7 linked regions of the Oryzias latipes genome follow. The protein of the gene in region 1 binds, or shares a complex with, the protein of each later gene. Links are inferred from orthologs where the notes say so. Each region holds a gene or a part of one and is shown in the gene's direction. Other genes may lie near its edges.

Region 1 (4,017 bases):
GGATGGGGCAGATGCCAGTTGGTTTGGCCTTTTTCTGCTTTAGCTTTATGTTCAGCTGCTCCTGCAGATGAATGACATCTTTCCTCGTGGTAATGGCTGTAGATACTTTCTGCACCCACTGTTGGTCCCCCTCTGTCCATTCTCTGTAATGGTAAGAAATCAGAATTTACTTGGAAAATCATTTGACAGTAACTTTTGGATGCTTTCGGGATCTTAGATTGTGTGTCAGCTTTTTATTTTTGAATTAAGTAAAAAGCAGACGTATGTGTGATAATGCACCTGTGGGCAATATTTGCTGTCAAGACTTGATCTTTTTAAGTTGATGAAAGTTGGACATTCACTGAGCTACAGGACCTTTCCTCTTTTCCTTGTTAGACATTAGGATTTGTTGGTGATCTTTGGATCACATAAAAACTACATTTGTTCCAACTGTAGCTGTTCCACTGTGTTGTTTAAAGTTTTTTGAGTTACATGGCATGAAAAGCATCTGTTTTACAAAAAAAAAGCCTGATTTTATTTGATTTCCCAGATTTGACTTTTGAGAAATAAAAGTTGAGGATGGTCATTGTGCTCTGGTGCATGCCACAGTCTATGTTTGTCTGCATAACTTAGGAAGAAGAATAAATAATAATGAATCTAGAATAAATAAATCTGAATCGTTGTGCTTAGGTGAGCTTTTGAGGTTTTCTTTTACCTAGGTGGTAAGATGGCATGCAAAATGTTTTCATCCAAATTCTGTGTAGGGGGAGATGGAACACCTGCTGCAAAGCTGGGAGCTGGAAGGTTGCTCAACGTTAGAGTACGTCCCTATTAACGAAAAAAAAGGGGGGAAAATTGTACATTTATTTGTATTATTATTTTTTTGTAATTTCTTTTATTATTTTTGAAGATTTTATTTGGTAGCCTTTCATTGTCCACAATAAAGAAATTATGGAAGTACAATGAGATTTCTAGCCTTAATTGATATAGTTTCTGGGCGCCAGTTAAATAGATCATTAACCATCAAGACTTACCTTTTGAGATTTTTTATCTCCTTTTGTTTTTACCAATATCGGATTATCGTATTTCAAGAGGGACTCGCCAAAAGAAGTCATCGTTTTGAGGTGAGAGAGCAAGTTACACGTTTTGTTAGAAATACCGTTTCACTGTTTGTGTTGTCATGGCGACACTTTTTCAAAATAAAATAATATTGATTTGAACAAAGTTTCATTTAAGAATACTTTTTATGTAATACGACACGTATATGTGTCATCAATGCTTCAGTCTATGACAAAAAAAACTTGAACATCACGTTTTCCCCATTTAAAACGAATTAGGCCATGGCGGAACCAACAATAGGGAGCACATGGAGCACGTCGAGGGGATTAATTTGAGTCACCGGAAACGGAAGTTTGTTTTCACAACGCCAGAAGTTTGGTAACGCATCAAAGGTTTTATTTTTTATCTTGGCTTGTCTTTGTCTAGCTACTGTGTCGTGTTTTGGTTGAATTGAGCTCAAATTTATTGGAAAAATAAACTAAAATGACTAAAGAAAAGCGAGACAGAAGAAGGGAGTCTCCAGAACGGCAGCCCGAAGTGAAGATAAAGCAGGAGAAACTGAGCCCGAGTAGCACTAGCAGGCCACACAGATCACGCAGTCCACAGGGGAGACGAGCTAGCAGGTAAATGTCTGAAGGTTTTACTACGATTCATGACGTAAAACTGTCTAAATATAAAACAATTCACAACATTATTTTTTTGTTGTACTTTCGCTGATGAAAATCTAGCTTCCGGTTTTCATTTTTGACGGTTACGGAATAAACACTTAACGTAAGGGATACCCGGTTGCTCCAAAAGAGTTTTGATCTGAGGTTTCTGTAAATCAAATAATCCTTAACACGTTTGTGTCAAAAGTAGTATAAGTATCTGACTCGTATCAAGTAAATCTTGTTTATTGTTCTAAGATATTTTATTACCGTCTTGCTGATAAATCAAGGTTAGACTAGAGACATAAAATTTGCTTTAATTTTTTTTTTTATTGAAATATACTCATTACAAAACTCTGGCAGACACAACAACACAATGATGCAAGGCACAGCTCTTCACGAAAAACAAAGATAAAAAAAAAACAAGAATGTATACATATATAAAAAAAACTATCAGCATAAATTAAAATACAAGGCAATCAACAATCTGGACCCTAGATTTGTAACCATTCTGTAGCAGATTTACAAATGTCATCAATGAAAGAATTTGAGTTGTGAATACATTTCAATGAGGATAAATACAATCTGACTTCATTTTTAAAACACAGGAAATTCGGCCGATCTTTTTTCCACTTTTGCTTATGAATATATTTTCCCAAAATCAGGAGGATGTTCACTATTTGTTGGCTCTTTTGGCAACTTACTGTTTTAAAACAAAATATGTTTTTCTGTGAATTGTATGTTGTTAATTTTTTGACTAAGCCAATTATGAAAATCTTGCCAGAATCTTTCACTGGTCTGGACATGAAAAAAACAGGTGTTGGGTTGTTTCTGGGGTTACCTGACAGAAATCACACGGATCAACCTCAAAGCCAAATCTACTTCTCAATGTCTCTGCCGATGGGTAATAATTGTTTATAATTTTGAACTGCATTTCTTTAATTTTGGGAACCACTGGCCATTTTATGAATTTCCATAGTTGAGCATCTGATGTGACAGGTGTCTCAGTTATTTTATATTTCACTTTTCTGTTAAAGTCATGGTATAATTTACCTCTAAAGGATTTGTTTAGCAATTTATTATCACGTTTTTTTTCACTAAATTTTATTTCTCCTATTACTAAATTTGGTAGTTTAATTTGAACATAGGAAGACAATATTGTATTTTTTATTAAATGTATTGAAGCAATTGGAATTGCTCAGCAGGTTTTCTGAAATTCCTCGGTTGAGCATTCAATATCATATTTACCTTTGAAGTCTCTTAACTGAAGAATTTCTCCATTTGAATCAAGAATATCACTTACAAAATGATCTTAAGATAAATATACTTTATTGATCCCAGCTTGGGAAATTGGGTTGATGCAGCGTCGGCGTTAGGCTCAAGGTACAAACATACAAACAATAGATGACAACAGAGAACCAGAACAATTTTATTTATTTTTTTATTTGAAATGGTTTATTTCAAGCAATTAAGTAGAAATAATACACAACAGCAATATAATCATCAGTTATACATTCATACAGTAACTAATCAAACTTAGGATAATTATACATATTAATAAATATTGCTTGAAAGGGAGTGGAAGGAAGCGAATTTATATAATCCCACCCCGTTATACTGTAACCATTTTATTACATGATTTATCAATATCCGGTTCCCAGTTTATATCATACAGAATTAAAAATCATAAGATATCGATAAAGCACATGACAAAGATGAATTACTTAAGTATTACGTCAAAAATAACTATTTTAGAAATCAACATGGCAAATGCAGATCAGTCATCTGAAATATATGCAGATTATGTTACTTATAAAAGCCATTCATATGAATAAAACATAATACTATATCAGTAAAGTAGACACAACACTGTTTCAGGAATTTTCATAGCAAAATTTCATCAAGTATCAAAAGTTAAAAACATGTGCAAAATTATGCTACATTAGGAAAGATTTTTGAATCAATTTATCAATTTTTGGAGAAAGTGAAATAAAATCATTAAAAGGCAATCAATTTAACAATTTTCAATAAGTCATTAATCATTTGTTTTACTTTTTTAAATATTTTTTTTGTATTTTTATTATTATTTTTTTTATAATAAAGTAATGCTGTAGGGGGAAAGTAAAAAGGGTCCATAACTGTCGATTGTCCAAGGTTGGTCTTTCTTCTTTAACTGATAACAGCCGTACTTCTGGGTTCAAAACAGAGTTTATAGTTCTCTTCGATGTTATGACTGCAGACATTAGATTCAGGTCCATATCCTTCTTCAGCTGATATCAGCGACGGTGAAAGTTGAGGTCAAGTTGTCTGCAGGTCAGAACTCTCTGCTGTT
Region 2 (4,168 bases), on another chromosome or scaffold:
CTGATTTGGTCAAACAGAGGAGAATGCACTAAAGTTGTCTGCATGCAGAAAACATCTGCCCTTTTTTACAGATACATTTTAAAAACAATTTCAAAGATTTTTTTCTAATAGACTTACTCAATCAACGGGGCTCCATAAAGGACAATCACAGTGTGGAAGAACAGACATGACAAGAAAAAGTACAGACAGGCACGAAACAGCCTGGAAAGCTGTGGAAAGAAACAGGATTATCATTATTACCAAAAAGTTACAACGTAGACATTTGAGAAAAATCCACTTAAAAAATGAACAATTTTTATATGTAAAAGCTCAGAAAAATTATTTTTTTATATGAGTTTGTTGTAGCAGAAAAATGTTAATAAGCAACAATTGCATATAGACTGTCATATGAATTTAAAATGTTTAACGTGAAAATAAAGCACTGTAGCAAATGTTTATAAACTCAATTAAAAATGTGTTCAAATCAGAAATACACATTTCTAATTATTACTGAAACGTCCATTTGCAAATTTGTTTTTTAAAAACGAGACAAAACGTTTACGAGTAAATAATAGGAATTAATTGTTTTGAAAAACCTAGTTTTCTATTATTTTAAATTGTGTAATAATTATTTCTGATACTTCTCTCATATACGTATGACTATTTGGCAAAAACCTTAAACAAATCAAGCACATTTCTTTGGGTTTGGACAAAATAAAGACATTTCCGAGGGAAGACATTCTGACCTTATATCCAAGTGTATTTTTTTTAGTGGACGGTGTGACGCCGAGGAGCCAGAAGACGACGACACTGACAGCATTCACAGCACCGGATGTGCAGTACAGCCACAACAGGTGAGTGCCGTACACCGAGAAGCTTAGAACAAAAACTGCAGGTAGCACCGTAGCCATGAACATCGAAGCGGCGATCAGAGCGTGGGTCGACACCATGGCTCTGATTTCGTGGTCCCACATGATGAAGACTTTCACTTTTCACAACAAGACAATAGAATAATGTAGATAATTTCAGTAGAGGTGTCTTAGAATTTTGGTAGGCGAAAGGACACGCAAATCCATGTATGACTACGCTTCCGTAAATATGAAAAAAAAAAAGCAATTTCCGTTTGCGTTTCACAATAAAACAGAAGATTCTCTTTTGATTGTTAATTTCTACCAATTTCTTTGTTTTGACATACATTACCCAACATATTTAAATCATATTCAACACTTTATAATAAAATACTATTTTCTAAAGTGAAATTTATATTTTCGAGTGCTGATTCCGTGGCGAAAATATTGTTACTCTCATTTTACTTTTATTCTGGATTTTAGAAATGCGCTTCTAGTCGGAGTGAACGAATCACATAACGTTTTACTGACAGGATTACCCAATGAGATTTGTTTGTACAAGTTGACGAAGACAACCGGAAGTTACATGAGCAGAGCTAGCTTGAACGCTTGTACACATTTTATATCAAGACAGGCCAAGTAAACGCAGCTGAGATGGTTTGTGAAAAATGTAAATATCGCACTTTCGCCTTGTTTCTTACATAATTTTACACTTATGACTTAGTTAATATAGTTAGTTAGTGACATTTTTGTTGTTTTGTTGAGTGGCTAATATTTTGTTATGCTAGCATTTGTTTTGGTTTTCCTTGCTCGTAGTTAGCTTTGTTAATTATTAATAATTCTTTGTTAATGTGGGATTTCCTAATATTTTAGGCGAAAAGAAGCTCGGAAAGGTCATCACTCCTGACACTTGGAAGGATGGAGCACGAAATACGACTGGTAACGTAGTCTCTATCCAAAAACATCCAAAAATGTTTACACGTTTAATAATTTAGACAATCGTGGAACGACAGGTAAAATAAATATGTTGCCCCCAAAAAATCTGTCTTGTAAATGAACGTCATTAAGGAATCGAAACGATGGAAGGAGAAGCTACTGCTAAAATATTTATTAGAACAGTACTCATTTACATATCTGTTTTCCCCGTCGGTCGGTCGGTCGGTCGGTCGGTCTGTCTGTCTGTCGGTCTGTCTGTCGGCTCATTTTCGGCCTACATCATAAAATTGTCTATTTATTTAAAAGTATTTATGCCCTACGTTCCTTTTCAAGAAAATGGTCTGTGACCCTGTCGTACCAACTAGGTGTCTCAACTGACTTGACCAATGTCCTCTCAATGGCCAGCAGAGCTAGGCTGCTTAAACAGCCTTAGCCCATTGTGTTTCGGGTGTAGGACTTAAGTCACTTTAAACAGGAGAAGCTCCTTTCTACACCTGCAGATGTAACTCCAATTGTTGCCACTAATGAGAACAGTTTGTAAAGCTGAGGCATTGGACTGTCCAACTCCATGTCTTTAAGGAACACCAAGTAATCATACAGCTTTCCCCTGTTACCCTGCAAGTCCTGATCTGAAAACAGGACTTGAAGTTCTGACCTCAGTCTTCCTGAATCAAAGGGAAGAATTAACTATCTAAAAAAAAATATTAAACTCTGTAAAACTGAAACAATCAATGTGGTGTATAATTGTGTGAAATGTATGATGAAAATCAAGCAATTTAGCCCAGCAATTATCAAAGAAATAGGTTGCAGCAGTTTTTAGTTCGACTGAACTTGAGAAATGTGAATAAGCGAAAAGCTTCAGTCAGAAGGCGGTCTTTTAACAGACCCTTCAATCATCACGGAGAAGCTCGGAGTTTGGGCTGGCCCACTCCCCACTCACCCCCAGAGACGCTGAGCATCCGTTGGCGGGACATAATCACAGCGTTTATCCAATGACCATCTAGTTTCGAAGCGCAGAAAAAAAATGTTCAAAGCAGCCCGATTGAAGTCAATGGACGCTGGGCTTCTTTAGAGAAATGCACTGTGATGCTGCGGGAATGTATGAGAAGGAAATCGAGTCAGGCGACTTGCTATATGTAACTGATTCTTAACGAACTCGTCTTTGAGATGAACGTTTTCTTACACATTTTTAGTCAATAAAATGTTAATAAAATAAAATACAATACAATACAATAGTACATATTTGACCATTTATTTTGTGACATTATAAGGGAAGCAGAGCTTCCCTTGCAGTCTTAAAGAAATCGCCACTGGTATGTATGTATGTACATACATGTGTATATATAATCTCACAATGTTGTTTTATTTTTCTTAGAGAGTGGAGGCCGTAAACTAAATGAAAACAAGATGTTGACATCTAAGAAGGCCAGGTGAGTATTGCACTGTGAAAAAACTTTTACTCATAAATCAAATGGCAGTGTAGTAGTTTCTAGCTTTCTGTAAGCACTAGTGGTTTATTTTGCTGTTAAGGTTCTTTGATGTTGCTAATTCTCAATGTTTAACTGTGGTTTTTCTCAGGTTCGACCCTTACAGTAAGACGGGCTTTGCCATCTGCAGAATCTGCAAGAGCTCTGTTCATCAGCCTGGATCGCACTACTGCCAGGGCTGTGCTTACAAGAAAGGTATAGTTGTGCACTTAAACTCTATTTTTATTTTCTTCAATACAAATTGAAGGTAACATGTCAAAAATTAACACTACAATGTATTGTAGAACCAAAAATCATATTAAAGCAGAACAGTATTAAGTAGGTTTTTCATTTTTATGTTCAGTCATAATATTGATATAAATTTGTCTGTAATTTTGTAAATCTTTACTATAACCAACATTGTGCTGGCATATGTTTGTGCTTCCATAACAGATGCCCATTTATATAAATGTACACATGTTGGCAAGTCCTTTATTATCTTCTCACTACACACTTTAATTTATAAAATATCCTTTGATGTAAATGTAATTTTTTTAGGGTTCCTGGTGACTGATACAAAGAATTTAAAGGTATAGGAATAGGTTAACTTAACTGTTTGTTTATGTCTGTAAAGTATTTGAACTGAGTGATGAAATTCAAACCTCAAAAGCCATATTTTTACAAACCTCGACCCCAGCCCCAAGCACTCGGCTTGCAGAAGTGGATACAAGGTTTTACATTGATTGCAGAATTGCATGTTGTGCCCCAAATATTGCAGGTTTTGATGAAGTGGTCAAAAATAGCCCCTGAGCTAAAAATTATGCCTGAATATATGCACAACCCAAACTGCTGTGAAACAACAACTAAATGGGCAAAAATAAAATATTTATTTATTGAGATGTTTGTCAAACTTTGCTATTCAAGTGAAACCCAAAGGCT
Region 3 (3,551 bases), on another chromosome or scaffold:
GAGCTCTTGTTAAGGACTATGAATACATTTGTGGGGGGTACATGATGTGACAAATCAGTTTCCCACGGTACACCAGTCTAAGGAGGTTGGGAGCCACTCCGTTACACAAGTGAATCCTCTTCTAAATATGTCAACGGCCATGGCAGTGTGGCTGCGTCTCGCCCCCGAAAACAAGCCACGTTCTAACTATTGCAAAGATGGATGTGCAAATTGTGCATTTACAAGGAAAATGTTTAGCCGATCTGCACCGCAGACTCATCCTGGAAGGGGCTGTTCCTCACTTTAATACATCATAATGTGAGGACCCACTTGTTTTCATGGATTAGGTGGGGCCGGTGCCCAGAGAGCAGTTTTACAGGAACGGTCCGAGATGCATGAATGTATCAAAATATAGTTTTTTTTTTTTATTGTATTGTTCGTGAAGAAGTCTTCATTTTTAATCAATTTAAATGTTGTACCAAACATTTTTTCTAAATGTTTTTAATTAATTTTACATTTTATCTCAATTAGCCTTTTGTTTCCTTGTATTTCACTTAAAGCAATGACCAGATTTCCTTAGATCTCAGATTGCTGGCTCATTTAAGAACATAGAATTATCCATTTTGATAATTTCATTGTTGGAAAATGCAGGAATACTTTTATTTGCTCAAAATGAACTCTTCTGATTTTTTTTTTTCTTCACAACCCCCCCCCCCCCCCCCCCCCCCCCCCCCCCCACTTAAGGAAAGCAATCAGTACAAACGCCGGTGCCTTGTGCAAAGAATTCGGCTACAGTTGGCGGGTTTTTAGCTATGTATTTTTTGGTCACTGCAGTTTTGTTCGCCTCGAAGAGACTGGCATTTTTGGATGTCTTCGTTTCAGGTGTTGGAATAGGTTTGTGGTGCTGCTGCCTTTGACTGCAATGGGCTTTAGCCAAATGTTGCAGCGTGGGGTCTCTTCTTCTACGTCTGTGGCAGTAAACCCATACCAATTCCAAACAGATGATTTTATTCCTTTCTTGGGAAAAAACTTCCCACTCTCACCGGTAGCCATGCTGTCGCTTGCTGTTTCATCTGTGCTATGATGTTGTTTGTCGTTTGCCATACTGCGAAAAAAGTGGCGAATTGCATTCTCTAGTCTAAATGTAAATAACATCTTTCCAGTTTTGCTTTATTATTTATCTTGTCCCCTCCCTCTCTTTGTCTCTCTCTCTATGTGTGTGTGTGAAGTTAGATATTTCCTTTGTTTTCAGTTAAGTTTTCATCATCCTCAGTGTTAAAAAGACATTTTTGCTCCTTAATCACATACTCTAGTCGTTTGAAATAAATTCAGGTTAAGTGACGTGACTGCAGTACGGGCATAAAATTCCAGTTGCACGTGATGTCACCAGCAGGTGTCACATTCTGCAGCGACTGGGGCGAAGATGATGAGCGCTAGTGCCTTGGCAGAAATTTGAAGATGCATTAAAGTATTGCTCACATCCATTGCCATGTTTTTGAATGACTTATCACGTGACTTGGTTTGTGTTTATTTGCATAATTAGGATTTAATAGAAACGATGTAATTGTGAAATTGTGTATTTCTACATTTCTGTCATTTTTTTGCATATGTGTAATGGAAAGGCAGCTATTGAAATATGTCACTGTGAGTATAAACACTTTCAAATGTTTTTGATTTTCTAGGAATGAGACTCCTCAGCTTTTTACGGTTCTCCCAGAGAGAAGAACTGGGCCTGTCGGTGCAGCCATGATGGCCTCCACTCACATCTACGACATGTCCACGGTAAGACCGCATGTGTTTGTGACTATGTGTTTTCACAATGTTCTTGTGGCATTCCTCTTATGATGTAGGACATACATAAGAAGAAATAAGCATTACAAATGAGTATTACTTTATTTTTGACGATCTGTGGCATAGACAATACACTGGGTGGGCCAAAAGCCCCCTGCTCCGAGCTCCCAGCAACAGGAAGGGGAAAGCGGGGACGGGGTTGCTTGCACCAATGGTCCCGCCCACAACTCGGTGGCGAATTTTTAATGAACTCCTGCCAATCTACTTTAATTATGCCCTAGCAAACAACACAGGCTTATTTATTTTGGCTAAAAACTGCATAATCATAATTGAAAGACCACAGGGAACACTTTTTATGGATCAAAAGATGATCTAACAAACTCCATCATAATAATGTTTATTCTTCCCCTTTTCTGCTGCTTACAGGCCATGGTAAGCCGAAAGACAGGTGGAGGACAGGAGTCGCAGGGCGTGGAGGTGGCCCTGGCTCCTGAGGAGTTGGAGCTTGACCCAATGGCCATGACGCAGAAGTATGAGGAGCATGTTAGAGAACAGCAGGCCCAGGTGGAGAAGGAGGACTTCAGCGACATGGTGGCTGAGCACGCTGCTAAACAGAAGGTACGGATCTGATTATATTTCAGATGGAAATGTAGAGTAATAAACATTCAGCTTTTGATTCTCCATAAAAAGAGTGGACAGAAATTATTGGAGTCTTGTTCAACTTAATAATCCTCTAATTCAAATTTGGATGATTTGATGTTGTAGGCTTCATTGGCTCTTCATAAAAACATTAGTAAAGCTCATTAGCTTACATATTTGGACCATTTTGGTGCAAACATGCAATCCTGCATTAAAGAAAACATAAAGGCTTTCCCTGGAGTTGTAATCTGAAAATGAATTCACTTTCACTTCCGTCTTTTTTGTTTCCAAACAGCAAAAAAAGAGGAAGGCCCAGCCACAGGACACACGAGGAGGTGCCAAGAAATACAAAGAGTTCAAGTTCTAGAGAAAAACCAAAATAAATTGCAAGAAGTATGGCTGCAGCAGGAAGAGGAAGAGACCTGCCCCAAATTCACTTTGAGAGGATCTAGACTTCAAAACCAATCATATCCTAGACCAGTAACTTCAGGTCCTTTTCCTTTTTTTATGTTTCAACAATGTTGTCTCTGCATCTCATGTACTGTATGCGTCATGAGTGCTAACTGTATTTCCTCTGTTAAACTTGGCTATGTTCCACCATGTTTTATTTTCATTTTTTTGTAAATAAAATTGATAAACTCATTTTTGCTCCTTTGCCTCCATGTTTTTTAATTAACCTCATGCACATTTACTTTGTTGACATTCACATACTACTAGGTAATATTCCAAATCTGAGTGGGGTGATCCGCGTGCAGCACACTGACAGATGACACAGACTGCAGCTGTCTGCCTGATATTTGTCAAATGTCTTTGCTAAAACTCTGGAAAAGCTCCTGGAGTTGACCCCCCTCACTGCTGCCTGTCGATAACATTCAAGAGCGCCGCAGTCTGGGAAGGACAGTGACCTACATAGCTGCTGCAGCCGCTTCATGCTACATTGGTCACTGGTAAATATTCATTTGCAGAGGGAAAAGTTTGCATCCTCACCTTTTAATGTGCAAAGAAAGAAACTGCATTACCTTTTCTACCAGGACTGCAGCAGCTCAACATGACAGCTGCAGAGATAAGACCAATGTTTGTGGTTTTTATGCTGACACTGTATACGGGTATCTAAAAATGTTCATTCGCTCCTGTTTGTTTCC
Region 4 (3,862 bases), on another chromosome or scaffold:
TCCAAGAGGCACAGGCTGTACCACTGCGTGCCCTGCCAGCAGGGCTTCTCCGTGCTGGAGTGCTTCCTCCAACACTGTCAGGAGCACCTGCGGGTCCGGGTGGAGGAGGACCGAGAGTCGGAGGCGCTGGCACAGCAGGCCAGCAAAGCCTGATGGGAAACAGAATGTGTCCAACAGCTGCCTTTTTTTTTTTGCTTTATCATCTTCAGGGTTGAAGAGAACATTTGATTTTTTGTTTACTCATCAAAGTGCGATGCCTTCTGCTTTCTGTTTGTTAATAAAGTTGTTACAATTTGAATCAACGCCTGGCAGATTCAAAAGCTATTTTCCCATCAAAACTTAAACTTCCTGGAGAGGGAAAGCACTGATTAACATCATCATTTATGTCTTTAATACACTGAATGTGTTTTGTCAAATTGTGCTGTTTTCTTCCAAATAATCAGCAAATATATAATTATTAATTCTTACATTTTATTTTTTGTCAGGACAGCTTTCCATGAGCACATCACCATGGTAACTTGCTAACAACATCCTACTGAGGATGAATGAAGCTGTTTTTCTTTTTTCTTTAAAATTGCTTGTAAAAGTAAAAATCATAGTTTATCAAATTTATCATAGTTTCAAAATGTTCCCATAACCTCTTAAAGTTAAGGTAGCTCAGGTCATGTTAGTGAGGAAATATGAAGTAATGGATGCTAACATCCTCTTGAATGGCTGGCTGTTCTCTTTGGTAGATTTTGGGTTGAATCTCAGCCATTTGTTTTTTTAGTGAGTGCGAATTTATGAGATTTCCATTTTTCTGAGGGTCTAGCATGAATTCCTATAAACCTTTGCTTCATAAAAAACGTTTTTGATGTCTTTATTGATAGCAGGAAACGTGGATTGTATCTCCTTTCTATGCAAACAAAAGCAGCCGCCTCAAAGTTTTGTTTCTCTAAAGTTATTTTCAGCGGCTCTTTTCAGTGTCACTGTGATGATTTAAAGTTTGAAAAATGTTTTGGGAATTTTTCACAATCTTCCTTTGTAAAGGAAAAAGTAAAACAAACTGTCGCATTTTTTAAATGTATGTTTGATTTTATTTTTGCTTTTGATCATTACAGCTCAGATGTTCAACCAAAAAAAAATAAAACTAATCAGCTGTGCTTTTGCACAAATAAAAATCTATTAATACAATGAGTTTTTTAAGGTTTTCTATATATATATATATATATATATATATATATATATATATATATATATATATATATATATATATATATATATATATATATATAAAATATATCACACACTTCATGTGCATGTATTTTTATAGTTGTTTTGGTCATTTTCTAACTGCAAATAGTATTATTTGCCTTTGGCTGATCCCTTTTTAAACCAGATTACTCCTCCCAGCCGCACGAGGGCGCAGCACAGCAAAGGTCACAGGGTTTTACTTCCGGTCTCCCGGTCCACACGCGTTTCCTACGCGGTTTTGTGAATTGAAACACGACTTTGTTTCGTTAAAATACAGACACCATGAGCAAAGCGCATCCACCAGAGCTAAAGAAGTAAGTTTGCAAGTTTTTGAAAGATGATAGGCCTGATAGCTTCGGTCTTTTTCGCGAGATTGTAGTATGTTTCCATGTTAGCCACCGTTAGCCGGAACAGCTAGGAATTGAAGCTAAATCTAAATAATGTTTTTGTCTTTCAGATTCATGGACAAAAAGCTTTCCCGTGAGTTAAAACTCTCGTTTCATTATTTAATACATATTTCAAAATTACACTATATTTCTATTCATTCGCCGGCTTTTTCTTGTGAAATTAAATTCGCTTTTAGCTAAGCTAGCAGCCTTCATGTTCATCAGTTTGCTCTTTTTGTTTTCTTCAGTGAAGCTGAATGGAGGCAGACACGTCCAGGGCATCCTGCGAGGGTTCGACCCCTTCATGAACCTGGTGATGGACGACTGTCTGGAGATGGGCCCCGGGGGACAGCAGAACACCATCGGGATGGTGGTCAGTGTCCGAGCAGAACTGTGAAGCATGAGGGAATAGTTTAATTCAATGTTTTACCCCACCCGTAATAGCAGGACGAATAGGTTCAATTAAAGATCATACTCTTTATTTATTTTTATCTTTATTAGCAATTCCATCTTTTGACAATTTGAACCAATTTGAGTGCTGTCTACATAGATTTATAAAAACATGCACAACTGTTTTCCTAACAAACCAGACAATCCTATAAAGAAATATGAACCAATAAAATATGTTAGGGGTCTGCTAGTTAGTAACAAAAATGTAAATGTTCTAAAAATCATCTTTTTGATAAAGAAAATTTTCTACCTCACAAATACACTTTTTTTGTTTTAATTACTTTTTTTTTAACTCCTTTTAATTCACTACATTTTGAATAAAGAAATACGCAGAAAAGCAATTTTAAGCATATTTTTTTTAAATATATGTCCTCATCAGAAAAATGCCACAAGAACATGTCAAAGTAAATAAATTAAAGCAATCCCAGTTGGTCATTTAGTGGTTTTGATCATTTCCGGCAACTAATTTTTAATTTTTTCTACAAAAACAAATTTTGTTTCGAAGTTTATTCAAAATTCTTTAGTCAAAGAACCTATTCTATCCACTTTCTCTTGTAAATATAACATTATATTGATAAGACAGACTTCCTCGTTTGTTTTCCAGGCATCTGTATTCTAGTTGCTACTGGTTTTCTAGATCGGGAAGCTGCAGATTCTGCTTGATGAAATCCACCTGATCCACGTGACTAGCTGCAAATAAAGCAGGGTTACTGGAAAACATTTCCACATTTTTATGTGTAGCCAAAAGTTCATTACTACTTAAAATAAATACATCCAGACCAACAGGGGAGCCTCAATGCCTACTGAAAATCTCTCTTAAATATATTATACTGCCCCCCCCCCCCCCCCCCCCCCCCCCCAATACTCCAGCTTTTCCAAAGATGTCTAATTAGTTTATCTGAAACAAAACTGACCTGTCTTTACGGAAGAACAAATAACAATTGCCTGTTCCAGTGAATATCTGTGAAACCAAACGTTGGCAGGTTCGTGGTTTTTCCTGATGTGACAGCCTCAGGAAAGGGTTTAGTAGTTTTTCCCAAACTAGAACATTTCTCTTATTCAACACACAATTGTGTAAAAATAAATGTGTAAACGTGAAAAGATCTGATCTGTTTTCCTTTTGTCTTCCCGAAGGTCATCCGAGGAAACAGCATCATCATGTTGGAGGCTTTGGAGCGAGTATGAGCAGAGCACAGCGGCGCCTCCTGTTTTCTCATTCCATTGTAGTTCATTCACAATGAAAGTCTGTTGGTTTTGAGATGTTTGTTTGTTAATAAACTATTTTTCTTTTTATCCGTGCATTTGTTTGGTTTTACGAAATGTTACTGTATGTGTTCTTTCCTGTAGATGCAGCAAGAATTTAGTGTTTTTGTAATGGAGGATGAGCTGCTAAACAAAAAAAGAATATCTTAAATGTTAGGGTTAGTCTTATCTTAAGGAATTCGAAAGCTTTTTTTATAGCTTAGCTGTTAAAAAGCTATAATGGCTAAACAATGTTGGGAATGCTGGTGATGAAGACATAAATGCTGAACTATTTTAATAATTTGATAGACCTAAAGTCAGCTGAATATTTAAGATATGCGTAATTTCCATTCATGAGCTGGCAAACTTGTTATAAACTAGCAGGCAAGTATTTGTTCATAAAATATTAAAAAGTTGGATTCAGTTTGTTTATTCTTGAGCTCTATCAAGTTTAAAAGTTTCCACGTTGAAAGGAAAAAAATTTAAGGTATTTTAAAATTAAAAACATTAGCTGCTTGACACTAAAACAAAGGGTTACCAATTTTTCTAAA
Region 5 (3,972 bases), on another chromosome or scaffold:
AAGCAGCATCACCATCATAAACACACTAAAAGAGGAATGGACAGACCATTTGGAATGATTTAATGAGAATGCATGGACGAACTCTAATTAACACATGATTCAGATAATTTTTAGGCCTTCAGAGAAGCCCATCACCATTGAAAATAACAACTTTAAAACACCTGTGTCTGACTGATGCAAAAAATGTACCCCAGATGGGCAAGTACAAGTACCCCTGCTAGAGTAAGTCTGTCCCAAAGGGGAGATCTTTCACTGTATAGCAGAACTGAACTTCAAAGCAGGATGATTTAAACAGAAGCAGGTGAGAGCTGAGAAGGATACAGTCTCTGAAGAGGAGGGGGTCGCCCTTCGAGGACAAGATGAAGAGCTGCCGGATCATCCTGCAGAGGATAGAGGACTGTCGGGGCAACAGTTCACCCCGGTGGGACAGCTAGGGGGAGTTTCAGTGCCACTGCAACATCTGCAGAAACAACATCTGCAGGAACACGTCCAAGTCTGTCTGCAGAACTGCAGTCAAGCCGAAATAAAGGAGAAAACCCCTGTTTATGGGGGAAATGACAAACAAGCAGCATCTCATATTCACTGCATGAAACTAGTTATTATGAGGAAAAAAATAAACTAACAATAAACAATCAGATTGTCTGGTGTGTGCTACTGTAGGTGTGCGTCACACATTAATCTCAAACGTGTTAAAGGTGACACTGAGTAAAGCGGAATAGGGTAAAGACAAGTCGAAGGAAAACTGAATTTACCTGAAAAGATGACACAGTTCAGACGTTTAAACTGAACTTTAAGTGTTTTAAAGCCATGCTAACGTGGAATTACAAATCATTTTCCAGTTCCACGTAAAATCTCCTGCAATGATGTCGACTCTAAGAAAGGGTGTTATTTAAACATTAAAAGCTTGAAAAACACAACACGCTTTAAAACGTCCACTGTCTGGTTTAAGTGTTGCATCCTGTTAAAAATGAACTGTTAGCTTGTTAGCGCCACCTGTCGTGCAGGCGGAAAGATTGGACGCTTGCTTTTTACAGACAGAACATTCAGCATTTCACAATTTCTTACAAAAATAAAATAAATACATTTCTTGTTTATTAAAAGCAGCATTCGGGCAGTGTTAGACGCTTCGCGTTCGCGCAGTTTTCTCGTTCATTTCATCTGTAGTTCGGTCATCCAACCACCAGGCGGCAGCACACGCAGAACCTCCACAGGAAGTGCACCACTTCTCCACGCTTGGTCTTTGGCACCATAACATCGCTGCTGTTCGAGCTCACCATGAAGTAAGTAAACGTTTCCCTCTACAGCCATTACATTAGTTTTTATTTTTCATTTGGTAGAGAATCCCTTTTCTGGTCGTTGGTTTCCTGTTGAGCGGATTCCAGCCGATAGCAGCAGGCTTTATGTTTCGTGTGTGTCGCCTTTTCCCCATTTCCATTCAAATTCTCCACTGTAGAACTTCAAAAACTTCTAAAAACTTCTAAAAAATCAAATTTGATTTTTTTAAACTTAATAGACCAGGTACTGAATAGCCACCTACTGAATTCGTACTTGCGTTTGATTGTATTTGCATTTTAGAGGTGTAACGATTGCATACCAATCAGTGGTTGTTGATGTGATTCAATCATTCGATAATTGTTCGTTTTATCCGATTCAGTGACCTAATGGATCCAGGACATCTTTATCCAAAACATCATCCAGTGTGACTCAGCGAGAAATACCTGCTACTGAAATGTGAAGTTTTCCAGATTCCTTAGATTTCTTCCAAGATAATCAAGTTTAAATTAAATATGTACAAACAAAGAATTAAAATCAAATCCATCCACATTTTAGTTTCCTGAAGTTCAGCCCACTGTTGTTTTTCCACATCCAAAGAATCCAAAGGGAACATTCTAGCACACTGTGTGGTCACATGACTTTCTAAATTCAGTTTTGGACTGGAATGATGGTTGATCAGTTTTTGATGAAATTACATGTTTTTTGTCTGCTGTAATGCACTCTGTTAATTTTGATTGTGTCTGAATTCCTTCAATACTCACTACCTAGGGGGCACTATGTAGTGCACTATATATTGCCCTATATAGTGCACAACATTCACCATGTTGTAGTGCTGTCCGAACCTACAATTTCAAAGTCGAGTGCCCTAGAAATTTCCCAGAAGTCTCTGCGAAAAAGCAGTGTGCATCGAGTGAATATAAACCACAATGCATTGCGTCGAACAGTTTTTGCAATTTTCTTTTTTTATGTTAGGGTGGGAACTTGGGGCACAGCCTTTATGTTATAGTAAAATGACCTCACCAGGTCTCAATCCAAACGGTGGTTTCCAATATCGATTCAATAGGCAGAGCTGAAGGTAGCAGAGATGAAGATGTTGAGGTTCTCTTTGGGAGAGACCAGGATGCATCAGGAATGAGTCCATCAGAGGAGCAGATCATGGTTGATATTTGGGACATGAATGCAGATGGAGATGGTTTGGAGGAGCAGCAGTGATGATGCTGAGGTTACAGAAACCAGGAAAGAGGCCTAGCGGAAGACCACAGAGGAAGTTCATGGATGAAGAGGAGGGCATGAGGGTTGTTGGTGGGGACGATAGAGGAGAGAGCTGGATGATTAATGTAGCAACTAAGAGACAAAGAAGATATGGTTGAAATCTTCATAATGTTCATTATGTTGAGATGGTGCATAAAAAAATAAATTGATGAAACATGAATATTAGAAAGCTGACCTTCAGGTTTATTTCACTTTGTTTAAATGAACAGAATCTTGACTGCTGTCTTCTAAAACACTGAAAGTTTCCTGCCGGTTGATTTGTTTCAGTCCTCTGACGAAGGTGAAGCTGATAAACGAGCTGAACGAGCGCGAGGCCGACCTCGGGGTCAACGAGAAGGTGTCGTGGCACAGCGAGTACCGGGACAGCGCCTGGATCTTTGTGGGTGAGGGGGCGGAGCTTCTCACAGGAACCTGCAGTAAATGAAGCGTGAAAGCAGGTGGTTGACGTCTGTTCTGATCCTGCAGGAGGCTTCCCCTACGAGCTCACAGAGGGGGACCTGCTCTGCGTCTTCTCTCAGTACGTACCCACAGCCTCGCTTTGGGGTGGGGTGGGGGCACACACCGCTTACTGATGTGTCCGTTCAGGTACGGTGAGATCGTCAACGTCAACCTGGTGCGCGACAAGAAGACGGGAAAGTCCAAAGGCTTCTGCTTCATCTGCTACGAGGACCAGCGCAGCACCATCCTGGCTGTGGACAACTTCAATGGCATCAAGGTGAGGCCCCCACCCCCCACCCGGGGCGGCGCCACTGTGAGCATCCTTAATGATGAAGCTCTTTCTCCCCTCCAGATCAAAGGACGCACCATTCGCGTAGACCACGTAAAAAACTACCGCCCCCCCAAAGACGGCGAGGACATCGATGATGTCACCAAACGCTTGAGGGAGGATGGCTGCGCCCCCACGGGCCCTGCCGCCCCCCCGTCCTCCTCTGAGGATGACGAGCAGCTCGTCATACCTGTGAAAAAACCCAAAAAAGGTGAGGTCACTTCCTGTTCTGTCATTTATGAGGGGGAGGGTCAGTTTCACCTGTACTCTTCTGCTGCAGACAAAAAAGAGAAGAAGAAAAAGAAGAAGGAGAAGAAGAAGAGCCGAGCTTCCTCCTCCTCACCTCCCATCCGAGTCAAAGAAGAAAAACGAGACACGGCGTACGACAAGTACGCCACGGGGGGGTCACAGAACGGACACAATGAGACGGAGAGGAGGAGGGAGGAGAAGAGGAGAGACAGAGATGTGGAGAGTAAGAGAGAGACTGAACGAGAGAGGGAGGACAGAAGGAGAGGAGAGAAGAGGAGAGAGGCGGACAAGGAGAGCTCCAGAAGATAGATGGAGGAGTAAAGAGAGGAGAATGATACATTCTCTCCTCAGCAGAAGAGCTCCCCCTGCTGGCTGACATCCTCCTGTAAACAAAGCTTCCATGAGAAGCC
Region 6 (4,126 bases), on another chromosome or scaffold:
TGGGCTCTCTTTAAGACAGTAACCTGGTTTGGAAAAGCACAATCTGCAGCTCAAATTCTTTTTAAAACTTTTTTTTAGAAAAGGAATCTCTGCAGCAGTACACCAACTAAACCAGAGCAGATTTCACACAAAAAAATTTAAAAAAAATTTAAAAAATGTAATCTGATAAAAGCAGCTGCACTAAGTGTCAAAAACGTGACACCAATGTAGAAAAGAGAAATTTGTGAAGTGAAAAAGCCCCCCACTTCCAATAACACAATATGTTTTACAAAAAAGATTCTTATTTTAAAGATATATTTTACAAAGACATTTATTTAGATTTCTTTAATTTATTTTAAATAGTAATTGCACTCCAGGTTGTAGAAGATACTGGTCAAAAACTGAAATTATGCTAAATAATCTACTAATTAAAAACATTAGTGTCTCATTACAAATGATTACTAATTATAAATTAAAAATGCTGTTACCTGCAGTCTTACACTTATATAATTAAATGTTAGTATTTTTTGTGGTGCAAAGAAAGAGTATGTGTCTGTGATGCCTTGCTTTGGAAATAAAAAGGGCTACAAAATAAAAATAGTTGTATTTTTCCTATTACTAAAGATATTTAAAGACAAAATTTCCTGTTAATGAAATTATGGTTTGGCTCCAATGTTAATTTGTACTTAAGGACAGTACAGACATGTTTTCAGTGTTTTTCTTAAACTTGATTACAATCAAACGTCAGCGTCATTACGCAAGGACAACAATCTCCAACGTTAAACACATAAAAAAATATTCTGAATATATAGACTAAAGTCTATATTTGCGTTATAACTTTCCTATTGTTTTATACAAAATAAGAAAATAGATCACCTGTTTATGTAAACAGTGGCAAGTCCAACAATGATGCTCCCGAACAGAATAGGTTTCGTGAGCCTTTTAGCTGCAGAGAGCTTGTGAGGCTTCATTGCTGCAGAACTTTAAATCAGAAGGTTCACGGCATAGAATCCAAACAGCAACAGAAACGTGAGTTTGTTTTCAGCTGACCTTCCTGCGCGTGAGTTAGTTAGCTGAAGGGACGTTGGAGCGCCTCAACTTCCGGTCCAGCACTGACGTCTATGTCGACAAAGAAGTACCGACTTCCGTTTGAGAATTGAATTTCGTAAAGTAATTTGCTTTTATCGTCTATGACAAAAAGTAATCATTTAATTAAATTAAATCAAAGTGATTTATTACCGAAACATTATAGGCCTAATTATTAAAAATCACAACGTTTTAAGTGATAAAATAAATTGACAGCTCTTTTTTATGTAAGAACAGCTTAATTCTACTTTTGGGTTTCATTTTTAATTGTTATTCTGTTGCGTTAACAGTTCATCCAGTCTTCAGAAGAAGAAAAAAAAAGAGTCACGAAACAATATCCCGGAACCACTGTCCAAATTCTAATTTAAGCCGGACGTATTTGAAAGACGGACAAAATGAACGAACTACTGAAACCAAATGCATAAATGAGGATACTATTTCAAATGTATTTTATTTTTTTGTTTTAATCGCGCGTTTGTCTTCTTAAAAACACAATATAAGATACTGAATGATGAAACGGAACTTTTCACCCGAAACCTCTGACCGGTTTGAATATTTACAGGCTCTTGTCACAGAGTTTCAGGATAGTGACAGTGAAGGTAAAAACACAAATAGCTCGCAGATTCATTTAGAAAAACTAAGAATTATTGCTAGTTTACAACAAATTCTTTGAAATTAAATTGTTAATGCATAAACATTGTAATGAAAGCATGTCTTACTTATATCAATCCATGATAGTCACTTTATATATATATATATATATATATATATATATATATATATATATATATATATATATATATATATATATATATATATATATATAATTATTTTTTTATTTTTATTTATTTTATTATATATATATATATATAAACTACAAAAATTTAATTTTTAAAATCTGAATGCTTAGAAACAGGACAGATTATTCAGGAAAAAAACAATGCATTTATCTTTTAAGATTTTTTTTTTTAAATAATTATGCTTTAGTAATTCTGACGATCATGTTTGAATACTAAATTAAAAATGCATAATGACGTTTTTTAAAAATCAATAAAACCAAAATTTAACAAATGCCATTTAATGATTTATGCTGATAGACTTTTGCAGCCTTTTATATGCAATATATAAAGGATCAAACTACATATTATTGTCCGTCAATAATTTTTTAGGAATGCAGGTCTTTAGTCTTATTTTTAATGTTGAGGTGTAAAAAAGCGCCCTCTGGTGGATTAAATTTATCTTGCTTTTGGTCCTTGTTCCCGTTTCAGTCATTAATGTCCAGTATATGTAATTTAATTGAATTTGAATCTGATTCTGTGTTTTTTATTTATGTTCTGTTGTCGTTAGAGGCAAAGGAGCAGGTTTTGGCAAACCTCGCCAACTTTGCTTACGACCCAAAGAACACAGAGTATCTGCGACAGCTGCAAGTGACCGACCTGTTTCTGGATATGTTGACTGAGAAGAACGAGAACTTTATTGAGTTTGGAATGGGTGAATCTTTTTAGATTATCATTTGGGTTTTTTTGTACCATAAATGCAGTGAAAAACATTTTTTTTGGTCTAAATTTTCTCAGGTGGGCTCTGTAACCTCAGTATGGACCCAGACTGCAGGGACCTCATCCTGGACAGTGACGGCATCAGCTTAATCACAAACTGTCTGTCAAACCAGAGGGAGGAGACAGTGCTATCAGCAATTACTACCCTTATGAACCTTGTGACTCCAGCTTCACAATCTCAGCTCACAGAGCCAGGCATCTTGCAGTGCATGCTGCGTTTCTCTCTTGCTGAGAGTCCCCGGCTGCACAACCTAGCTGCTGTGTTCCTGCAGGACTGCTGCACCAAGGATCAGGTCAGGCAGGCCGAGCAGCAGATGCAGGGACAGCAGATGGCTGTTGGGATCCCACTACCCAAAGACTAAAGACTTTGCTTCACAGTCAAGTGGAAACAAACAGTGACCGTTTTGGTTTTATGATTGTTTAATTTCTGGTGTTTTCAGCAGATGTTGAACCGATCTGGAGGATTTCCTTTGAACAAAATCCACCCTAAAGTTGGTTATGAAGAGAGGAAAATTAAGCTGCTTGTCCAGGTCTTGCACCTCCTCTCATTTGCAGCTGGAGTTTGCACAGGACTCATGTCTTCACTGGATCAGAATCTGAATATTAAGATGGTTTTTGTATGTTTTTAAGCACAAGTACATTTATAAAAGTAATTTGAAATTTGCTCAAAACAGGCTTCCAGCAAAATGAGTATATTTGTTCTCATGGAAAAATGGTAAAGATGTGTTTTACTAGACAGAAAATAATTCCTTTCAAATGTTGGACACCAACTGAAAAGGTCAGATACTCATCAAAGGAAAAATGAGGGAAAGTTTGTCTGTAGTCGTATTAGATTTAAAAAAAAAAGACATATAGAAACCCAAGTTATCCTGCTTTCATGGGAGGAATACGTTTCTACCAACTGTCACTAATCAGCAGAAATACCAAACCTCATGGAAGCCTAAGTTTGTGGCTTTCTTAGTCTGGATAATTCAGGTGTCTTTTATTGAAATAAAAAAAATCTACAGAAGTTCTGCCTTCGTGTGAGTGTTTGGCTCTCCTCCCTTTAGTCCTGACTTGGGCGGCATGATATGAGGAAAATTTGCAACATTGGTGATCAATATTGCGATGACAATATACTTGCTACATATCAACAAATAGCAAAAACAGCTGCATTTTAATTTTACAACAACAAGGGTTAACCCTTGTGCTATCCTAGACATTTTAACGTTGGGAGTTGGGTCATCTAGACCCACTAGACAGTGCGCTAAACCTTTTTTCTTCAATGATTTGTGATCTTCACTGGTGTCAATGGATTACATGACATCTTTCCACCTTTATCCACATTTGTCATGGTAGGGAGAACACGTCGATGTAAGGGTGGGGTCATCTAAGATATCACAAGGGTTTCGTAAAATGTAAATAGTTTCAATTATTTACACTCCAAATGACCCTCGTCTACCTATGAGGCGAGCATCTAACATAAAAGGGCTCCATCCGATTGGTCAAATGCACAAAGGGATTTA
Region 7 (3,500 bases), on another chromosome or scaffold:
AGACCTTTGTTTAAAGGCAAAAACAGCATTGTAATTTGCAATTTTTAACCAAATCGTAGTGCAAAAAAGTTTTTGTTCTCTAAGCAGCACATTCTGTGTGTTGACATTTCAATAATTATATTTAACTTTTGTTTAAAGGTAGACGTTCAGGATACATCTTAAGTAGGTCAAGTAGTAGTAATTGAATGTTTATGCCTGTTTTAATGCGAGTCTCTATGCAGTCTTTGTAAAGTTTTTCTTAGATATAATTCCGAAGTGGGTGGACTTGCCCAAAAAAATCCCAGAAATGTAAGTGTGTAGGTGGGAGGGTCGGGCTGTTAGAATTTAAAGGGGACTTTAGTGTTTTTTTTAAAGAATGAATACAGTAGTAGAACTAGTTTTCAATGTTCTCACTTTTTCATTTATTTGAAATAAAAATAATCTATTTTTTGTGTTGCTGTGTACTCATTATTGCTTGTTCGTCTCTTACAATTTAGAATGATATAACATTAAGCTCAAGGTGGTTGAGTCTCAAGCTGTAGGGAGGCGGAAGCAAGCCAAGGGAGCTCCGTGCCCACTGGTTCCACGGGACTCACTGAAGACACCGGAACTGTATTTGCAGTGTTGGGTTTTAATGCACTCTGTATTATGGTTAATTTGTCGAACCCCTAAAGTGTAGCCTGGGGGGGAGACTGGGAAATGGGTTGGATAGCGTTACTGGGAGTGGAAAGTAGCAAAGTAGCACTTACAAAATAAATTACACATTTTTGTATTTGAGTTTCTGTGCTACGTTAACATATTTAAAACTAAAAAAGATTGCATGGAGTTTATATAATTGTATGAATTTATCATTTTTAACTGATTTATTTGTATTGGTTAGTAGTAAATCCAGCTTTGGACTGAGATATTTGTAAAATGATAGTCACTGTTAAACATGTTTTGATATGATTACATTAATCCAGGTTTAGTCTAGTGAGGGATAGAAGGCAGGACTTCCCATTTGTGGGATCCTGCCTCCTTTTAATATTTTGTTTTCAGATATTTCAACAGCTGTATTTTTTTTCTCTTTTCCCCTTTTCATGTCTGTGTGTTGCAGCATCCAGACAGCAAGATGATGCAGATCAACCTGACAGGGTTCCTGAATGGAAAGAATGCCCGAGAGTTCATGAAAGACCTGTGGCCCCTGCTGTTGAGCGCCCAAGAAAACATCGCCGGCATCCCCTCTGCCTTCCTGGAGCAAAAGAAGGAGGAAATCAGACAGAGACAGGTGCGCTTCCTCATCACCCCTATGTCACATTATTGATCTACAGCAACGTATTTCAGGGTTAAGTTGTAGTCGGTGATTATTTAGCTGAATGCAATGCTTCCCAGCTGTATGATCAGTGCTTTTTGGTGTTTCTCAGATTGAACAGGAGAAGATTGCTTCATTGAGGAAGGTGGATGAAGATAAGAAGGAAAAGGAAAACCGGGAGAGAGCTCAATCAAGGAGTCCAAGACGGTTAGAATTATCATCATTGTTTATGTTGACTGGTTTAAACTTCTGTGAATTTTTTGGGACCTTGTCTGACAAGTCTTTAACAGATGCATTTTAGAACTATATTTATAAATTTACTTCCCTTTAAATAAGTTTTTATGACATTGTATTCCCTGATGCATGTGTTCACAACCATGTGTTTTGATTAGAATTTACTTAACCCCTTGATTCTTGAATGTATTTCCAGCTTTTAAAAAAATGTTTTTGCTTTCAATTAAATGCTAAATTTAGCTAATTTTGGACCCAAAGATTTGATGATTCATGATTTGATGTACATTTGCTTTAATTGTGAAGCTATATCTTATGTTTCTTTGGATTGTCTCACAAAACCATACACTGTTCTGGCCTAAGTCTTACTTTAATACACTGAAACACTTTCTTTTTTTTTTTTTGTTCAGGCGGAAGACAAGATCTCCATCACCACGTCGAAGGTCACCAGTGAAAAGAGAAAGGAAACGCAGTCCATCACGGTCCCCCAGGCGTAAGCCTAGTCCAGTCGGCGGCAGCTCCCCCCCCCCTCTTATGCAGCTGCCCACTAAACCTTCAGAGCAGTCTTTGGAGCCAGATTCATCAGGAAAAGCCGCACAACAACAAGTCGTTCAAGAAGCTTCTTCTGCAGGGTTGGTGGTGTTTTGTTTTTGACAGATTGATTTGATTCATATCTAAAATGGTGGAGAATTAACACTTGAACATTTTTTTATTGCAGAGATACAGCTGTAGAGGCCGCTAAAGCGAGCTCAGCAACGGAGGTTAAAGAAACATCTCCGGAGAAACCTCATAAAAAAGCGGACAGACCACGGTCACGTGAAAGGGAGAGGGATCCGAGGAGAGAAAGGCCTCACCACCGCTCCCGGTCTCACTCCCATTCCCGTAGGCGCCGCTCCCGTTCAAGGTAACGTGGGACATCATTTGTTGAATTAGTGTGAAAAAATTAGGCTGCAAAAGGCTTATTTCTCTTTTCTTTTTCAGATCTTACTCTCCACGTAGAAGACAAAGTCCTAGAAGGAGGATGTCCCCTCGTCGAAGGAGTCCCCCTAGACGGGGCCCCGCTGGCCCCAGACATCGACACAGGCGTTCCCCTGTGCGAAGGTCGGATAGCAGAGATGCTCACCTATGATTTTGTTATACTGTTACAAAACCTTTCATCCAGAGTTTGAGTCTGAACTTCAGTTAATGCTCCCAGAAATATCTCACTAAAGAAACGCATATATTTTGACTTAATCAAAAAGGGAATAAATGCATAAATTTAACTTTTATCGTGTTAATGTGACACAAAATCTATATACCGTAGGTTTCTGTGGGTTTTTTTGTTGTTCCAAATTGCCTTAAAAGTTGTATTAAAATAAACATTAAAAAAAATTACCTTTGGTCTGTAGGAGGCGCTCTCGTTCTGCTTCGTCCTCTGGCAGCAGCTCCTCTGGTTTACGTTCTCCTAAAAAACCCCTGAAAAGAACGTCGACCACCCCACCCCGGAAACAGCGTCCCCCCACATCCTTGAGCCCCGTAGGAAAGGACAAACGCTCGCCTTCTCCACGAATGAGAAGGGGCCAGGGCTCTGCTTCCCCGCCGAGATCCTCAGGTAGGATGTATACTCAAGTCCAATGAGAGAACAAATGTATCGTCTTATCTTGCCTTAAAGCAACACCTGCCCCCCCCCCCCCCCCCCCCCCCCCCCCCCCCCCCAAGAAAAAGTTTTTTTACAGTCCATATTTCTTTGTGACGAAAATATTTAACACATAAATATTCTACAAGCTCGAAATCTAGACAGACTATTTTAAACTTACAGAACTCTCATTTTCAGGTTTCAAGCAAAAACCAGAAGGAAGAGAATCTCCGTCTGAAAATGTTAAGATTGGACCTTCTGACGGCTCCGAGTCAGGTCAGAGCTGAGGCTGTTAAAGAAATGTTCTTGTTTCACACCTTTGGATCAAAAATGACAATGCTACACTTTGGAACCATATTAGATAAAATACACAATTATCATGAA

The links.
Region 2: snip1 (region 1) and cript share a complex: the UniProt entries of both Homo sapiens proteins name them as parts of the minor spliceosome. The link is inferred for Oryzias latipes from reciprocal best matches to the Homo sapiens genes SNIP1 and CRIPT.
Region 3: snip1 (region 1) and sf3b2 share a complex: the UniProt entries of both Homo sapiens proteins name them as parts of the minor spliceosome. The link is inferred for Oryzias latipes from reciprocal best matches to the Homo sapiens genes SNIP1 and SF3B2.
Region 4: snip1 (region 1) and snrpg share a complex: the UniProt entries of both Homo sapiens proteins name them as parts of the minor spliceosome. The link is inferred for Oryzias latipes from reciprocal best matches to the Homo sapiens genes SNIP1 and SNRPG.
Region 5: snip1 (region 1) and rbmx2 share a complex: the UniProt entries of both Homo sapiens proteins name them as parts of the minor spliceosome. The link is inferred for Oryzias latipes from reciprocal best matches to the Homo sapiens genes SNIP1 and RBMX2.
Region 6: snip1 (region 1) and armc7 share a complex: the UniProt entries of both Homo sapiens proteins name them as parts of the minor spliceosome. The link is inferred for Oryzias latipes from reciprocal best matches to the Homo sapiens genes SNIP1 and ARMC7.
Region 7: snip1 (region 1) and srrm1 share a complex: the UniProt entries of both Homo sapiens proteins name them as parts of the minor spliceosome. The link is inferred for Oryzias latipes from reciprocal best matches to the Homo sapiens genes SNIP1 and SRRM1.

Annotation. Positions count from the first base shown.
Region 1 is NC_019874.2:23,603,914-23,607,930, reverse strand, and holds the start of snip1 (smad nuclear-interacting protein 1), read left to right. Parts: upstream 1-1,217; 5' UTR 1,218-1,345; coding exon of another isoform or gene 1,346-1,416; 5' UTR 1,417-1,521; coding exon 1,522-1,661; intron 1,662-4,017. Other genes in the region: dnali1 (axonemal dynein light intermediate polypeptide 1), read right to left, coding at 1-143, 695-807, 1,014-1,094. UniProt on the Homo sapiens protein: Required for pre-mRNA splicing as component of the spliceosome. As a component of the minor spliceosome, involved in the splicing of U12-type introns in pre-mRNAs. Down-regulates NF-kappa-B signaling by competing with RELA for CREBBP/EP300 binding.
Region 2 is NC_019877.2:12,480,875-12,485,042, reverse strand, and holds the start of cript (cysteine-rich PDZ-binding protein), read left to right. Parts: upstream 1-1,368; 5' UTR 1,369-1,481; coding exon 1,482-1,497; intron 1,498-1,700; coding exon 1,701-1,766; intron 1,767-3,138; coding exon 3,139-3,193; intron 3,194-3,341; coding exon 3,342-3,445; intron 3,446-4,168. Other genes in the region: pigf (phosphatidylinositol-glycan biosynthesis class F protein), read right to left, coding at 118-209, 726-953. UniProt on the Homo sapiens protein: As a component of the minor spliceosome, involved in the splicing of U12-type introns in pre-mRNAs. Involved in the cytoskeletal anchoring of DLG4 in excitatory synapses.
Region 3 is NC_019876.2:19,493,338-19,496,888, reverse strand, and holds the end of sf3b2 (splicing factor 3B subunit 2), read left to right. Parts: intron 1-1,661; coding exon 1,662-1,761; intron 1,762-2,196; coding exon 2,197-2,388; intron 2,389-2,704; coding exon 2,705-2,776; 3' UTR 2,777-3,051; downstream 3,052-3,551. UniProt on the Homo sapiens protein: Component of the 17S U2 SnRNP complex of the spliceosome, a large ribonucleoprotein complex that removes introns from transcribed pre-mRNAs.
Region 4 is NC_019865.2:4,866,768-4,870,629, reverse strand, and holds snrpg (small nuclear ribonucleoprotein G), read left to right. Parts: upstream 1-1,401; 5' UTR 1,402-1,515; coding exon 1,516-1,547; intron 1,548-1,690; coding exon 1,691-1,713; intron 1,714-1,867; coding exon 1,868-1,992; intron 1,993-3,203; coding exon 3,204-3,254; 3' UTR 3,255-3,362; downstream 3,363-3,862. Other genes in the region: zinc finger protein Xfin, read left to right, coding at 1-153. UniProt on the Homo sapiens protein: Plays a role in pre-mRNA splicing as a core component of the spliceosomal U1, U2, U4 and U5 small nuclear ribonucleoproteins (snRNPs), the building blocks of the spliceosome.
Region 5 is NC_019872.2:23,468,279-23,472,250, forward strand, and holds the start of rbmx2 (RNA-binding motif protein, X-linked 2), read left to right. Parts: upstream 1-1,172; 5' UTR 1,173-1,275; coding exon 1,276-1,280; intron 1,281-2,814; coding exon 2,815-2,930; intron 2,931-3,012; coding exon 3,013-3,064; intron 3,065-3,132; coding exon 3,133-3,262; intron 3,263-3,337; coding exon 3,338-3,524; intron 3,525-3,593; coding exon 3,594-3,871; 3' UTR 3,872-3,972. Other genes in the region: ap4m1 (AP-4 complex subunit mu-1), read right to left, coding at 322-379. UniProt on the Homo sapiens protein: Involved in pre-mRNA splicing as component of the activated spliceosome. As a component of the minor spliceosome, involved in the splicing of U12-type introns in pre-mRNAs.
Region 6 is NC_019877.2:19,373,068-19,377,193, forward strand, and holds armc7 (armadillo repeat-containing protein 7), read left to right. Parts: upstream 1-1,326; 5' UTR 1,327-1,573; coding exon 1,574-1,664; intron 1,665-2,412; coding exon 2,413-2,556; intron 2,557-2,639; coding exon 2,640-2,983; 3' UTR 2,984-3,630; downstream 3,631-4,126. UniProt on the Homo sapiens protein: As a component of the minor spliceosome, involved in the splicing of U12-type introns in pre-mRNAs.
Region 7 is NC_019880.2:16,881,506-16,885,005, forward strand, and holds part of srrm1 (serine/arginine repetitive matrix protein 1), read left to right. Parts: intron 1-1,075; coding exon 1,076-1,246; intron 1,247-1,382; coding exon 1,383-1,477; intron 1,478-1,911; coding exon 1,912-2,133; intron 2,134-2,219; coding exon 2,220-2,405; intron 2,406-2,482; coding exon 2,483-2,602; intron 2,603-2,889; coding exon 2,890-3,092; intron 3,093-3,314; coding exon 3,315-3,392; intron 3,393-3,500. UniProt on the Homo sapiens protein: Part of pre- and post-splicing multiprotein mRNP complexes. As a component of the minor spliceosome, involved in the splicing of U12-type introns in pre-mRNAs. Involved in numerous pre-mRNA processing events.